4 linked regions of the Cricetulus griseus genome follow. The protein of the gene in region 2 purifies or fractionates together with the protein of the main gene of each other region. This does not show direct contact. Links are inferred from orthologs where the notes say so. Each region holds a gene or a part of one and is shown on either strand. Other genes may lie near its edges.

Region 1 (3,566 bases), about 160 Mb from region 2:
GTGGTGGGCAGTGATCCAAACTCTTTAATGTACTTATCTGTTTCTTTCGCAAGTTGGTTAGTATATTGCTGCTTCTGCTGCCTAAAGTGAAAAGAAAAAACAAAAAGAGAAACAGAAGGCACAAATACATTATTGTCAAAGAAAAACTCCACCACTTGTGTCAACCTTAGTAAATGGTTGTAGAAGAACTAGTCTTTTTGTCTGGGTATTTATAGTAACAAACTATAAACAGTGAAAGTACTCAGTTTTCTGAACATGTGGTCAATTTCTTCTGCCAAACCAAATCTTTAGGTTCTGTTTTTCTGATAAATACTAAGAACTATGACATAGAAGGGTCTTCATTACCTAAAATAACCACTCTTGGAGAAACATGAATTGTGATTACCTATAAGTATAGATCAATAGCTACAGATGAAAATGACTTCAGTGAGAAGGGCATGTAGTCAGGACAGTGATGGCGGTCTGGTCCTTTATATTTGAGAGACTGAAAATGTCTATAGCTCTTATCTGTGTCTCCCCTAGGACGTCATCTGAGAAAGAAAGACTATTTGTTTTTGTCCAGTGCCCAGGTGTGAGGTACATCTTGTATGTCTTATTTCTTTATGTGAATACTTATGTTCCACAAACACAAAGATGGAGGAGAAGTAGTGACAGTACAAATTTACTAGTTATTAAACTTGCTGTGGAAAATCTAACAGAGCTTCCTTATAAATAGACCTGAATACAAAAAAAATGGGGGAACTAAATTATACCTATACCTGTATTTTCCTAGATATCTTATAAAAAGAGTATGAATTTTAATGAAAAACCTTGATACTCAACAATATAATCTTGCATTAAAGGGATGCTTAGAAAAGACACCAAGGCCTCCCTTGTACATCCCTTATGTTACACATGAACTGCCAGTGAGGCTCACAATAAAAAGATGCTCAGATGCAGATGCCTGTATAGAGCTAGTGAAGAAGAAAAATAACCAGCTCACAGTTCTAGACACCAAATGCCCTTGCTTGGACGTGCTTCTCTAAGTTTCTGGAACAGGATAGTCAAAGTTCTCAAAATGCATGATCATGTCTATGGATTCAAAATTTCCACTGTTCGTGCCCCAAAACTAATGTGTCTATTTAGTATGAACTTCCATTGAATTGAATTTCAATGAATGTTTGTGTATTAGCTATGATTCACCCCAACACTTATTGTAGAGAAAAAATATGAACTACAGACAACTACAAATACTTCAAACTTCTTAAAAACATGAGTTTATATTCTGTATCTTTCCATATCTTCTTTGTACTTGTATTCTAGCTAATTGTTATATGGAGATAATGCTATGTGTGTGCATGTATGTTTGTGTGTACATATATATGTGTATGTGTGTTTGTGCATGTGTGTGTTTGTGAGTCTGTGTGCATATGTGTGTCTGTGTCTCTGTGTGTGTGTATATATATGTGTGTGTGGGGGGGGGTGTATCACTTGTAATCTGTAGCTAGTTAAAGTGCTGAGAACTCAAAAGGTTCTGAATAGTATTGGGCAGATCATCAAGGCCCTAAAAGAGAAATTTCCCTTATGAGCAATTAGAAATGGTTCTGTGTGTGAGCATCACTCAAATTTTACAAAGTTCAGGTGAGAAAAGATGACAAACACTATGAAATCTATAAAACACACAAAGTACTATTACTGTTCCTCTACTGGCATATTTACTGATACATATGTAGTGTGTGTGTGTGTGTGTGTGTGTGTGTGTGTGTGTGTGGTGTGCATGTGTATGTGTGTGTATTTGGAAGTTTTGACAGAGTTTCACTGTGTAGCCCAAGATGATCTGGAACTTACTCTGTAGCTCAGGATGGCTTTACATTCTCAGCAATCCTCTTGCCTTTTCTCCAATAAAATCCTACTATAAAAGCATCATAGAAATGGTTTTCTCTGCTGGGCGTTGGTGGCGCATGCCTTTAATCCCAGTACTCGGGAGGCAGAGGCAGGCAGATCTCCGTGAGTTCGAGGCCAGCGTGGTCTCCAGAGCCAGTGCTAAGATAGGCTCCAAACTACACAGAGAAACCCTGTCTCGAGAAACCAAAAATAAAAATAAGTAAATAAAATGGTTTTCTCTTGTTTCTGTCTGAAAAAAAAAAAGTTGAGGGCTGTTGGCTCAGAGGTTAAGAGCACTGGCTGCTCTTCCAGAGGTCCTGAGTTCAATTCCCAGCAACCACATAGTGGCTCACAACCATCTGTAATGAGATCTGGGGCCTTCTTCTGGCCTGCAAGCATACATACAGACAGAATAGTATATACACAATAAAGAAATAAATCTTAAAAAAAATACTTAAAAAAAAAAAAGCTGGGTGGCTGGTGCACAGGTCTTTAATCCCAGCATCCCAGCACTTAGAAGTCAGAGCCAGGCAGATCTCTGTGAGTTTGAAGCCATCCTGGTCTACAGAGCGAGTTCTAGAACAACCAGGGCAGTTACACAGAGAAACCCTGATTCCAAAAACCACAAACAAACAAACAAACAAACAACAAGAAAAAAAACCAAAAAAGCAAAACTCACAGCTGTTGCCTCAGTTCTGGTGAATCCTGAGGTGTTCCAAGTTGATTCAGAGTCCTTTGGATTTCCACAGCTATCGTAATAGAAAATTAATGAATAATTGTTACAAAAGTTACAGCCACAGAAAATATTACATTAGAAGCAATTAGGTAATTAAATGATGAAAAGAAAGAAAAACAAAGGAATAATGATAGATAATAATAATAATTGAAAAAATGAAAAAGTAAATGGTTTGTTTCTGGCTGATCAGGAACAGCAACAGACTGATTTTCCAAGAAAAATTGAGTGGGAACATTGACATGTGAAACTTGCTCATGTCCAAAACGGCAGCAATCTCTTTCCTGTGCTCCAGGGACTGCACTGAGAGTAGAACTATGCTGTTGTCTTAGAGGATGCATGGATGCAGACAGAGGGGAAGACATGGGACAGAGCATCAAGCCCAGAAAAGGAAGAAAAGTATCATGAAGACCCAGTGAGGATTCAGAGAAACAGATGCTGAAAAAAAAAAAAGATTCAAACAAGAACCTAACATATCTGTGTTCTTCTGGAGGACACTCCCCAGAGCGCCAATGGGGTAACACCTCTATTGGTGGGGGATAGGGAATAGAAGGGCATTGTCTAGTTTGGAGACTCAGCTATCTAATTCTGTACTTAGATGCAGAATAAAATGGCCAGATTACCACTATACACCACAAGTAGAAAGTAAACTCCTTATAGGCAAGAACTAGAACTGTATTTTATCTGTTTCTAAATCAGTCATTACAGGACTGATCATAGTACTGATACTCAGTGGATATTTTTATAACATAACTATAAAAAATGTACTGGATAGATCAATTATATAAGAAATAGCATGCATTTCTAAAACACAACAGTAGGGGGTGAGTTTAAAATTGCTAAGTGCTCAATTGTAATTAATTCACTCATTCAGTAATTCCTGGCTAACCTCTGTTCTGGATATGAACAGCAATTCTGCAGTATCCTTTGACTCGAGTAGGAGGTGTATGCTTGAAAATCAACTAAATCT
Region 2 (4,137 bases):
TGTTTGACTAGATCTAACTTTTGACATAAAGGAATCAATTGCATTCTGCCATTCTTTTATATCTTGACTATACATACTTAAAATGTCCATTAGTATTTAGAAAATATTTAAAAAACTGGATTCCTTTCAACTTCTTTCAAAGTGGCAAACACTTGTAACTTATAACATGTATGTGCCTTTACAGACCCCAAGTCCCATAACCCACCATTGGTAACTTCTAAAGTTACATAGAATCACTAACTCAGGCAGAAAAAAATACCTGCTTTGTTACATTATTAAAGACAGCGTAATAGAACTTTCCTTTGGATCTGTTTCATCTTACCCAACAGTTTTGTGTGTCTCCATAAGGATAGTTCCATTTGGTCCTGGGACAGGCATGGAATTGTAGCGAATGCTAACTTGAGACTTACGCAGCAGACCTTCTCGGGCTATCTTGAGTCCTTCATAAAACATTGCTAGTAAAAACACTGCTACAAAAGCTCCAGCCATCTCTAAGGAAGGAAGGAAGGAAAGAAAGAAGGAGGTAATGACACAGTTAAAATCATCGGCTAGTGTGCTGCCAGCCACAGTGGCACCGCCTGTGATCCCAGTGCTCACTCAGGAGGCTGAGGCAGAGGATTATGAGTGCACAGTCAGCCTGAGCTACATGGCAAGTAACTATCTCAAAACAAAACGGAAAAAATATCAGTCTCAGTTTGTGAATAATTGGATGGTTATCTCTTTACCCACTCAATAGAGACTTATCTGAAAAAAAAAAAAAAGGAATAGCCAACTGTTGGTTTGTTGTTTAACAGGGTTTTGTTGTGTAGCCCAGGTTGATCTTGACCTCCTGGAGATTCTCCTGCCTCAACTGCCTGAGCACTGGGATTACAGGTGTGCACCACCATATCCAGCTAAAACAACCTGTTTTTAAAAGTGCTGCCTATATATTTTGATAGGCATTTTAAGAGATTATGTATATATAGTGAAGAATTGACAAGATGAATTTATGTGATTAATTTAATTTAAATGTAACATACTATTTGAACAAAATGCTTCCCCCTCCTTTTCCAAAATCAAATTTGTTTATTTCAGAAATAAACTTGATACCTAAAGCAGTTTAAGTGACAATTAAACTCATGCAATTACAATTTAAATGCAAAGCACACCAATAAATGACAGATACAAAAAGATAGGTGACAGCTACCTTAAAACTAAGAGTGACTCTATGATATGTCAAGTACCAGGAACATGGAAACCATACTTTGATGTAGAAGAGAAAGCACTGGCTTAGAGAGTTCTAGAAAGTATGGTACTTGCTTTAGCCCTGTCATACTAACTGTGTGATTTAGGGCAACCATTTCACTATATGAGGCTTATTTATCTGTAAACAGGCAGTTATTTGATCAATACTTTTTTTTTTTTGAGGCAATGTCTATGTAGTCTGGCTATCCTCAAACTCTCTATGTAGACCAGGCCTTGAACTCACAAAGATCCTCCTGCCTCTGCCTCTCAAGTGCTGAGATTAAAGGTATTCACTACCATACATGCCAAGACCAACAGTTTTTTTTTTAATTTTTTAATTTAAATTAGTAACAATCTTGCTTCACACACCAATCCCAGCTCCATCTCCCTCTGCTCTTACCCCCCCATCCCCATCCAATCTGCCCTCTGCTCCCCAGGGAGGGTGAGGCCCTCCATGGGGGATCTCCAAAGTCTGTCATATCATCCCAGGCAGAGCCTAGGCCCTACCCCATGTCCAGACTGAGAGAGCATCCCTCCATGTGGAATGGGCTCCCAAAGTTCATTAGTGGGCCAGGGATAAATACTGACGATCAACAGTTTTTAATGTAGGGTTACGCTGTGGTATTTGAATATGCTATGTAGTCTTAGGCCTAGGACCAGTAACAACTTCAAACAAGAAAAGGATTGCAAAATATCTTAATATGGCATTTTAATTATTTTTCAGTGCTTCAAAACATACATATTAATTAAAGGAAGCTCACTGGAGGATCAAAAAAATGATGTATTTCATCTTCTGATTGGGGAATAGGAATTGTGATGATTATGTTGCACAACCAAATTGATCTGGCAATAGACAGAAAAAGACTCTGGATTTCCAAATCTGTCACTATGATCTCTCACATGGTTGTCATCTTCAAAGATTATCTGGTGGTTACTCACCTCCAGGTGTGTTGATTACCAAACCATAAAACAATAGTTCCACACGCTTAAAGCCAAAGTAGAAGGTCATAGGCTGCCAGAAAACCAAAACAAGTCAGTTAGAGAAGACTGAAGACCCTAGTGGGAATCTTGGGCAAAGAGGCTGACATAACACATCTAGACAAGAAATACTTGTAGTGGGAGGCTTTACTACCTTGGGCACTAAGAGTCTCCCCCACCCCCACCTTATGTCCTTTTGTCTTTTCTACATGAAACAGGACTTAATTCAGGAAAGGGTGAATTTCAAAAGAAAGGATTAAGGAAAGAATTCTAGAGAGCCTTGTTTCTGGTGTCATTCTGTATGTTGCCACATGAATACAGGAAGATCACCTGACTTGTGGGGAGGGACAATCTGCTTTGGTTTCTCTCTTTGACCTTCCAGTGCTAAAACTCCATGTTTCTATTATCCAAGTGTGTGGGCAAGGGCCTGTGCCATCCTCTGGGACACATACCATGTCTCCTCCACCATGGGAGTGTGAGGCAGTGGTTGGGTGATGGTGAGGTGGCATGGTACTGTTGTTGTCCATGTGGTCCATGTGGTCCATGTGGTCCATGTGGTTCATCCCCATATGGTTCATGCCCATATGGTTCATCCCCATATGGTTGGAAGTATCCAGTTTTCCAGAAAAAGATGAGAGTCAGCAAAAAGTCTTTCAAGAAAAACAATTATATATTATTAAGGACATAAAAATATTTTCTTGATAAATACTTTGTCTACACAGAACTTTCCTCAGTGAACAAATGCTTTCTTAGATACAGAAGTAACTTGGACTACTAAGGATCACCTTTGAGACAAAGGACAAAGGGCTTGTACTGAAGGCTTGAGACACCCATTCCTTACTCCGCAGAACTACTCCTCTAAGAAACAGGTTTAAAATAAATGCAGATAAATGGAGGAAAGAAGCCTCTTCAGATTGCAGGAAATAGATCTTTTGAAATAATTATCTATTGACATTAACAAAATGTAATTGCTCTTAGGCTCTCCAATCATAATCATCAGTAGATAAAAAGCCAGGACTTCAGATAATTCTAATTGGGATGGCCTGTGCTTAACCAGGATGTTCAGATTCCACTTAGAGGACAATCAGCTTTGAGCTCTTTTAAATCTGAAGAAAGGTCTGCTGCAGCCTCAGGCAAGGAGTGTGCCCAGCCTTCAGACACAATTTCAGTCCCACTAGGATATCAGAGTTAAGAACATGAAAGACAAGGTATAAATTGAATAGTCTTATATTAAATTAAGCTCAGACGACGCATATTCAGCCTTGTATCTTTGCACCATGTTAATGCTTTACTGCAGAAGTCAACATGAGTCAAGGAGCAGTAACTCCCATAGCTGCTGTGTGGGCAAGGGACTGGGAAGCTGGGATATAATGTGCAGGGGGAGATGTTCATAAAAGCTGTTTTTTTTTTTTTTTCTTTCTTTGTTTTGAGACAAGGTTTAGCCTGTCTGTGTAGCCTGGCTGTCTGGGAACTCACTATGTAGACCAGGCTGGCCCTGAGATCTGCCTCCTGAGTGCTGGGATTAAAGGCGTTCACCACCTCTTCCTGGAAAAACCTGTCTTTTCTCTAAGGAGTATTTTTATTTGTATGAGTGTTTTGCCTGCATGTATGAATATGTACACTTGTGTGCACTGTCTGAGGAGGCCAGAAGAGTGTGTTGGATCCCCTGGAACTGGAGTTACAGAGGGGTGTGTAACTCTGTGGGTGCTGGGAGTGGAGCCTGGGCCTTATTTGAACACAGCAAGTTTGCTTAGACTCTGAGTCACCTGCTAGCTCCTGAAATCTCTTTCTGTCCCTCAATTCCAGTATGTAGAAGAAATTAAAAGTAGGAGCAGGGCATGGTGGTGAGAAATATTCAGAGTCTGAGGTAAGCCTAGGCCACATAGTAAGTCCCTATCTCAAAAAAAGGAAAAAGAAATTGCAATTAGGTATACA
Region 3 (3,566 bases), on a different chromosome or scaffold from region 2:
GTGGTTGCCTCTATCCACAGTCATGAAGCAGAGAGACATCAATGCTGGTGTTTAGCCAGTTCCTTTTTCCATTTTTGTTTTAAGTTCAGGACCCCAGACAGCAAGATGTTAAAGTCCACATTCATGGTGGGTCTTGGCTTCCTAATTAGACCTTCCTGGAAATACTCTCAGGCACACTCAGAGGTGTGTCTCCTAGGTGATTCTAAACTCAACCAAATCCAAGCTGACAAGATGACCATCACAGATACCAAAAACCATGGGTGTTCAAGTCCTGTGCATAAAATGGTGTGATATCTGCATATAACCTATTAATATCTTCTCTGTACATTTTAAATAATCTCTGTATCTTTTATAATACCCTGTACAAGACAGGTGTGAGATAACACATACACCTGTAATCACATTTCTTAGAAAACTAAAGCAGGGAAATTCTAAGGTATTTTGTTGTTGTTGTTGTTGTTGTTTGTTTTTTGTTTGTTTGTTTGTTTGTTTGTTTTGTACATTGGTATAATGATATCAGATTCCCTGGAACTGGAGTTACATACAGTTGTGAGCTGCCAAGTGGGCACTGGGAATTGAACCTGGGTCCTCCAGAAGAGCCAGCAGAATTGCTCAATGGATAAAGATACCTAAATTCAGGCCCTAGACTCACATGATAGGAGAGAGCTGACCTCTCACAAGTTGTCCTCTGACTACACATAAACACCATGTTATGTATGCCCACACAGATCAGATGCACACAAATAAATGTGTGTATATGTGTGTGTGTGTGTATATGTATATGTATATTATATGTATATATATATGAATAATAGACATTACACTGTTATGTAAATAGCTATACTATAATATTTATGAAATCATGCGAAAGAAATCTGTATTGTTTCAGTAAAAATGCAATTTTTTATTAATTCTGATCTGTAATTATTTGGATCTTGTGGGGTCCACAGGTGAAGAATGTTGATATATATGATTCTTTTTACCATTTTCCCATAACTACAGCTTCAGTCCATGTGTGAGTTTTACTTTCATTCTCTGAAAAATGTACCATAGAGTCATGGAAAATTTCATGTAGCTAGACTAACCTTTTTCCAGTGAAATAGATGGTTGAGTATTGTATAGTTTTAATTCCTCAGAGTTTTTATGGTTTTTTCCTTCATTTTGCTATGTATTGAATCGAGGATTTCACACATGTTAGACAGTGCTTTCCCACTTTAATGCATCTCCAGCCTCTTTTTTTGTTTTGATGTAGCATCTCACTAAGTTTCCCATCCTGAACTTGAGCTTACTGTTGCCCAAACTAGCCTTAAACTTTCAATCCTCCTTGTGTCTCTTTGTTTGTTTGTTTGTTTGTTTGAGGCAGGATCTCTGTAGCTTTGGAGGCTGTCCTGGAACTAGCTCTTGTAGACCAGGCTGGTCTCGAACTGACAGAGATCCGCCTGCCTCTGCTTCCCAAGTGCTGAGATTAAGTGTGCACCACCACCACCCATCTTGTTTTTAGCTTTTGAAATGGGATCTTGCTATGGTGGTACAAGCTGGCCTGCAACTCACTGTGTAGCCCAGGTTAGCCTTAAACTTAGAATCCTTCTGCTTTAGTTTCCTGAGTAACAAGACCATACCCAGCCCAAGAATGTATTTATAAAATTCATTGTTATGAGCTGAATATGATATAAATCACCTTTCTGTGATTTTGTAATTCCTACAATGTACTCTACATTTTCACTTTTGCCTATTTTATTAGTTGTGTATTAGGGTTCTCTAGAGGAACAGAACTGAGAGACTATATATCCCATATGTGCTGCTGAAGGAAGCACGATGGCACATGGCTTTAATTCTAGTACTCTAGAGTAGAGGCAGGCCGATCTCTTGAGTTTGAAGCCGTCCTGGTCTACAAATGGAATTCCAGGAGAGCCAATGCTGTTACACAGAGAAACCTTGTCTTGAAAAACCGTGATGGATGGATGGATGGATGGATGGATGGATGGATGGATGGATGGATGGATGGATGGATAAATGCCCTGAAAATCTGGATTAAAGATTTTTCTTCCCACTTCTCAATTAGAAATGGGTCTTCCCACTTCAAATAATTAAGAAAAAAATCCCTCACAGGTGTACCCAGACACTTGGCTAATTCCTGATGTAATCAAGTTAACAGCCAAGAATAGCCATCACAAGCTGTGTAAATAAGGAGTGACAATAGGCAGTCAGCATTCCTATCTTTATGTGTACAGTTGGGAGTTACTATTTGGTATCTAACCTAACTTGTGACATTTGGACTTAAAAATCTTTTCCTGTCTCTTACACAGGTTCACCTTCTTCATCAAGAAAAAGTGGAGCCAGCTGTCCCTCCAGCAAAAACAGCAGCCCTAACAGCAGCCCACGGACTTTGGGCAGGAGCAAAGGAAGGCTTCGGCTGCCTCAAATTGGCAGCAAAAATAAATTGTCCAGTAGTAAGGAGAATTTAGATGCCAGCAAAGAGAATGGGGCTGGGCAGACATGTGAACTGGCTGACACCTTGAGCCGAGGACATATGTTGGGAGGCAGCCAGCCTGAGCTGGTCACTCCTCTGGATCATGAGAGCACTTTGGCTAATGGATTCCTTTATGAGCATGAAGCTTGTGGCAATGGCTATAGTAATGGTCAGCTTGGAAACCATAGTGAAGAAGACATCACTGATGACCAAAGAGAAGATACTCATAGTAAACCTATTTATAATCTATATGCAATTTCGGTAAGTCACATATTATGTAGATTTCAAAAAATATTCTTGGGGGGCTCAGCTGTTAAGAGCACTAGCTGCTCTTCGAGAGGTCCTGAGTTTAATTCCCAGCAACCACATGGTGGCTCACAACCATTCATAATGAGTTCTAGTGCCCTCTTCTGGCATGCAGTCATACATGCAGGCAGGATACTGTATATATAATAAATAAATAAATCTTTAAAAACAAAAAGTCAGCTGGGCGTTGGTGGCGCACGCCTTTAATCACAGCACTCCGGAGGCAGAAGGAGGAAGATCTCTGTGAGTTTGAGACCAGCCTGGTCTACAAGAGCTAGTTCCAGGACAGTCTCCAAAGCCACAGAGAAACCCTGCCTCGAAGAAAAAAAAAAAAAGTCTAAGCTGAGCATAGTGGCTCATGCTTTTAATCCAGCACTTGGGAGGCAGAGGCAGGTGGATTTCTGAGTTTGAGGCCATCATGGTCTACAGAGTTAGTTCCCAGACACAGCTGGGCCTACCAGAGAAACCCTGTCTCAGAAGTTTGCTTGCTTCTCTTCATTCATTCATCAACTGGCATTTTTTCAGAATTTGCTTACTTGCTGAGCATTAAGTTTGGTGATAGACAAAGTTAAAAAAGAAAGCTTAGCCTCTTGGATAGACTCCAAGCTCACAGTATGATTTAGACAATGGCCATGTAATTAGTATAATTTGATTCAGAGAATTAACTTTGTGCTCTCCCCTGTTTAAATTTTTTTTTCCTAAGGAAATTTTGCTTTCTAAATAATTGTTACAGGGCCAGACTTGGTGGCACATGCCTCTAATCTTAGTACTTGAGACCTGAAGCAAAAGG
Region 4 (4,286 bases), on a different chromosome or scaffold from region 2:
CACTACCATCTGGCCTCAGTTGTCTTGTTTTAAAGTGGGCTTAGTAAGTGGTGATCAGAGCTAATGGGGTCTCTTGGATGGAAATCAATACAGGATCAAATGTCCTGAAACTCACTCTGTGGATTAGATTAGGCTGGCCTCAAACTTGAGATCTTCCTGCCTCTGCCTTCCAAGGGCCGGAATTAAAGGCGTGTGCCACCACCACCTGGCTGTCAATAGCACTTTTAAAATTTACTGTTTATTTGGTTTTTCAAGACATGGTTTCTCTGTGTAGTATTTTGGCTGGCCTGGAATTCATAGAGATCTGCTTGTCTCTGCCTTCCGGAGTTCTGGAACTAAAGTCATGCGCCACCAACGCCTGGCCCTAACTAGTTTTATAACTCAGATTAACCCATATTTTAAACCTGCATTCTTTTATGTGGCTTTGTTACTTTTATTCTGTATTCCCCATCCTGCTTTCTTTGACTAGCTGGTGACTCTGTCTTCCTTCCAGAGCAGTAGTGATTATAGCTAAATGAAAGACTTTTGAATATTTTCATCATAATGATGTAGCATTGAGGAAGTGTTTACTGATATGAACATTAATTTTCCTTTTGTGTTTTCTTTACGTATTGAAACAATATAACAAGTCAGTATGTGTATGAGACAGGGTTCCAGGTAGCCTAGGCTGACCCTCTGAATTCTCCACCTTAATATGTAATGGAAGAGCTTGCATCCACTTGCCATGTTGTGCTGGGACTGACATGCACCACTCCCCTAGGTTTATGTTGGTGATATAAACCAGTGGGTACTAGATAAGCACTCTACAGACTGAGCGACTTCCCCCACTAAGTATGTAAATTAAATGTTAGTAAGTAACTGACAGTTTATAAACTTGGTATCCTTTTACCTCAGAAAACATTTTACATTACCATTCATAATAGTACCAAAATTATAGTTATGAAGTAGCAAGGAGAATAGCTTTATTAACCCTTTATTAAAGGGTTGCAACATTAGGAAGATTGAGAACCAATGGAATAGACCCAGCTAAACTGTCCAGTACCTGGCAGGCCATAGATTTCATTCATTGGTTGAACAAGTATTGAAAGACAGTTTCTTTGAAAAGCCAATGCTGGTGCCAGATGCTGACGGATGAATGGGTGTCTAGAAGACCCAGGGGAAGGGGCGGGACTTGTTCTCAATTCCGAGTTCCACATCCAGCTAGATCCCACGTGCTCCTACCAAGGTTCTGACTGCCACTGTGAACGCTTGACGCAGCGGACGTGGCGTCATCTCCCTGGTTGGCCCACCAGGAGGAGGGACCGGAAGTTATCTTGGGGAGGGGGGGGTGCTACTGGCCGGAAGTGGTCCCGGGTGGTGCTCGGGGGTTCTCTGGAACTACAGGGGAGTGCTGGGAAGGCGGGGCTCAGGGCGGGGCGGGGCCCGCGGGAGGGCCGAGGGACGGGCGGACCCTGTCCCTGCCGGTCCCCGGCGGACCCCGCCTGCCCCGGCGGCGCGGCCATGAAGCTGAAGCTGAAGAACGTGTTTCTTGCCTACTTCCTGGTGTCGATCGCCGGCCTCCTCTACGCTCTGGTGCAGCTTGGTGAGCGGGGAGGGGCGGGGCGGGATGCGGGGGGCCGGCCCTAGGCGCAGGGACGGCCGGCCTAGCCGACGCCTGCCTCCCGCTCGGCCCTCTGGACACTCTCCGTGGTCTGCGTCTCCGCGGATGCCAGCCGGGCAGCGAAAGGCGCCGCCGCCGCTGTCGGGCACCCCTCCTCTCTCTGCCGCTCAGACCCGCTTGCTGACAGATTTTTGAAAATCCTATCTTCGTTCTCCCCTCAAGCTCTTGACCTGCAGAGCTTACCCCCCAAAAAACTATCTATTTCTCATCCTTCAGGTTTTAGGCCAGATGTCACCGTAGAGAGGACTTCTAACCATCTTAGCTCAAGTAACCCTTCTTAGTCCCGATCCCTTTTTCCCTCGAGACTGTCCTGGCACTCACCCTGTAGACTAGGCTGGCCGAACTCACACAGATCCGACTGCCTCAGTGAGTTCGTGAGCGGTTCAGACTTTTCTATTCCTTCTTAGTCTAGAAGGTAAAATCATGATCAAGGGTAGAAAGACTGACAGATTATCAGCCCAATATACAAGTTAAAATAATAGCAGGGCTGGATAATTCAGCACCAGCAAGTTTGAGGCGCTGGGTTGGAGGCTCAGCAAAGAAAACAAAAGTGACAGATGGAATTAACAATGCAGAGCTGAACCAGGCAGTGGTGGCCTATGCGTTTAACTCCAGCAGTGAGTTCCAGGATAGCCAAGGCTACACAGACAAACCTTGTCTCAAACAACAATAACAAAAAAAAAAAAAAAGAGTTGAGTATGGTGACCCACCATTTGGAAAACAGGCTAATGAGTTAATGTGTGAGGTCAACTTGGGCTATATAGCAAGACCTTATCTTTTGTTGTTTCTTTTCAAGACAGGGTTTCTCTGTGAAACAGTTCTGGTTGTCCTGGAACTCACTCTGTAGACCAGGCTGGCCTTGAACTCACAGAGAAGTGCTGGGATTAAAGGATTTGCCACCACAGCCTTTGCTGCCACCAGCAGCAAGACCCTATCTTAAAACAACAATAAAAGAAAGATAAAGATAAAAGTGCTTGCTAGTGAATTCCCTGCTACAAAAAAAAAAAAAAAAAAAAAAAAAAAAAAGGTTAAAAGAAAAGGTTAAAAGGGAAGTCCTGAATTCACTAGGAGTTAGAAAGATTTTGGCTCTGGGTTGTTGAACTACTTACTATCTTGTGGTTGTCTGCCCCAATTCCCATTCTCTGTTGATGCTTCCTGGGACCAGGCCAGCCATGTGACTGCCTCCCTCCGCTTCGAGCTGCAGCTGAGCAGCTTCGACAGAAGGACCTGAGGATTTCCCAGTTGCAAGCTGATCTCCGTCGACCACCCCCTGTCCCAGCCCAGCCCCCTGAGCCCGAGGCTCTGCCCACTATCTATGTCATTACCCCCACCTATGCCAGGTATGGCTCTGGTACACTCGAGGTCTGCATCTACCAAGATGTGTTAATTATGAATTTGGGGAGGCATTGAACTAGGGGGTGATCTTTAAACTAGAGCTTGCAAAATGTTATGATGAATGGTCTACCTTTACTCAGATTGGCGGGAAAATTACCTTTCTAGAAAAATGGACAAAGGGATAATAGGAAGTGGATTACCTTACTGAATTTTTGGTAAACTTTTTTTTTTTTTTTTTTTTTTTTTTTTTTTTTATCTTCCCTGAGGCAGGGTTTCTGATGCAGCCCTAGCTGTCCTGGAATTAGCTCTGTAGACCTGGCTGACCTTTAACTCAGAGACTAGCTGGAGTGCTGGGTTTAAGGTGTGAGCCACTGCTACCCCTCTACCAGATCTGAGTTACTGCTAAACTTTAAAAGAGGACAATAAAGTTGGAAAGGAAATTTGAGCTGACAATGAATTAACTCCTCTTTGGAATTTCTTGGTTAGAAAGTTCTAACACTTTGATTAGCTCCAGGTGTGGTAGTTGACATCCTAGCATTCACTAGGCCCTGACAGTGATCCCCAGCAGGGTGTTGTAGAAAGGGGCAGGTAATTTACCAGCTTTTAGAAATGTTTTGCCTGGCGGTGGTGTGTCACACGCCTTTAATCTCAGCACTTGGGAAGCAGAGGTAGGTGGATCTCTTGAGTTTGAGGCCAGCCTGGTCTACAGAGTGAGTTCCAGGACAGCTAGACAGCTAGGGCTACTCAGAGAAACCAGCCTAACAACATGAATCCCTGTATTGAAAATCAGGACAAACTATAAAATTATTCAAACCCAGATCTATTTGATTCCAAATCATGTGTCCTATATTCTTACCCTAGCCTGAGTCCTCAGGTTGAAGAGAGTGGTGACCTGGTCTGGAAAGGCAGGGAAGGTCAGCATCTGCACGAAATTGACATTCAAGAGGGAGGCAACTTGGCAGTCTCATGATTCTTTTTTGAATACCTGAAGCCCTGAGTTCTGTCCTAAATAACATATGCACACATCCAAAGCTTGGGCACTGGTGAAGGAAAATCCAGGGAGATGCTAACAGTGGCCAGGAGCAGCTATTATCCTAAGTGCTGTGGGCCAAGGTTGCCTGGTCCCTTCCTTCCTGCATCTCTCCCCCTGCAGGCTGGTACAGAAGGCAGAGCTGGTTCGGCTGTCCCAGACCCTGAGCCTGGTGCCCCGTCTACACTGGCTGCTGGTGGAGGACGCTGAGAGCCCTACCCCGCTGGTCTCGGGGCTGCTGGCTGCCTCTGGTCTCCTCTT

Evidence for each region.
Region 1: the proteins of Slc31a1 (region 2) and Stx7 purify together in Homo sapiens (affinity purification with mass spectrometry; 3 studies listed by BioGRID and IntAct, counting the BioPlex papers as one, with this or other methods). This does not show direct contact. The link is inferred for Cricetulus griseus from reciprocal best matches to the Homo sapiens genes SLC31A1 and STX7.
Region 3: the proteins of Slc31a1 (region 2) and Usp32 purify together in Homo sapiens (co-immunoprecipitation; 3 studies listed by BioGRID and IntAct, with this or other methods). This does not show direct contact. The link is inferred for Cricetulus griseus from reciprocal best matches to the Homo sapiens genes SLC31A1 and USP32.
Region 4: the proteins of Slc31a1 (region 2) and B3gat3 purify together in Homo sapiens (co-immunoprecipitation; 3 studies listed by BioGRID and IntAct, with this or other methods). This does not show direct contact. The link is inferred for Cricetulus griseus from reciprocal best matches to the Homo sapiens genes SLC31A1 and B3GAT3.

What each region holds. Positions count from the first base shown.
Region 1 is NC_048595.1:243,388,328-243,391,893, reverse strand, and holds part of Stx7 (syntaxin-7), read right to left. Parts: intron 2,613-3,566; coding exon 2,543-2,612; intron 82-2,542; coding exon 1-81. UniProt on the Homo sapiens protein: May be involved in protein trafficking from the plasma membrane to the early endosome (EE) as well as in homotypic fusion of endocytic organelles. Mediates the endocytic trafficking from early endosomes to late endosomes and lysosomes.
Region 2 is NC_048595.1:83,482,084-83,486,220, forward strand, and holds the start of Slc31a1 (high affinity copper uptake protein 1), read right to left. Parts: upstream 2,861-4,137; 5' UTR 2,802-2,860; coding exon 2,655-2,801; intron 2,237-2,654; coding exon 2,164-2,236; intron 492-2,163; coding exon 323-491; intron 1-322.
Region 3 is NC_048600.1:98,265,018-98,268,583, reverse strand, and holds part of Usp32 (ubiquitin carboxyl-terminal hydrolase 32), read left to right. Parts: intron 1-2,306; coding exon 2,307-2,731; intron 2,732-3,566. UniProt on the Homo sapiens protein: Deubiquitinase that can remove conjugated ubiquitin from target proteins, such as RAB7A and LAMTOR1.
Region 4 is NC_048596.1:51,172,076-51,176,361, reverse strand, and holds the start of B3gat3 (galactosylgalactosylxylosylprotein 3-beta-glucuronosyltransferase 3), read left to right. Parts: upstream 1-1,461; 5' UTR 1,462-1,500; coding exon 1,501-1,582; intron 1,583-2,825; coding exon 2,826-3,000; intron 3,001-4,148; coding exon 4,149-4,286. UniProt on the Homo sapiens protein: Glycosaminoglycans biosynthesis. Involved in forming the linkage tetrasaccharide present in heparan sulfate and chondroitin sulfate.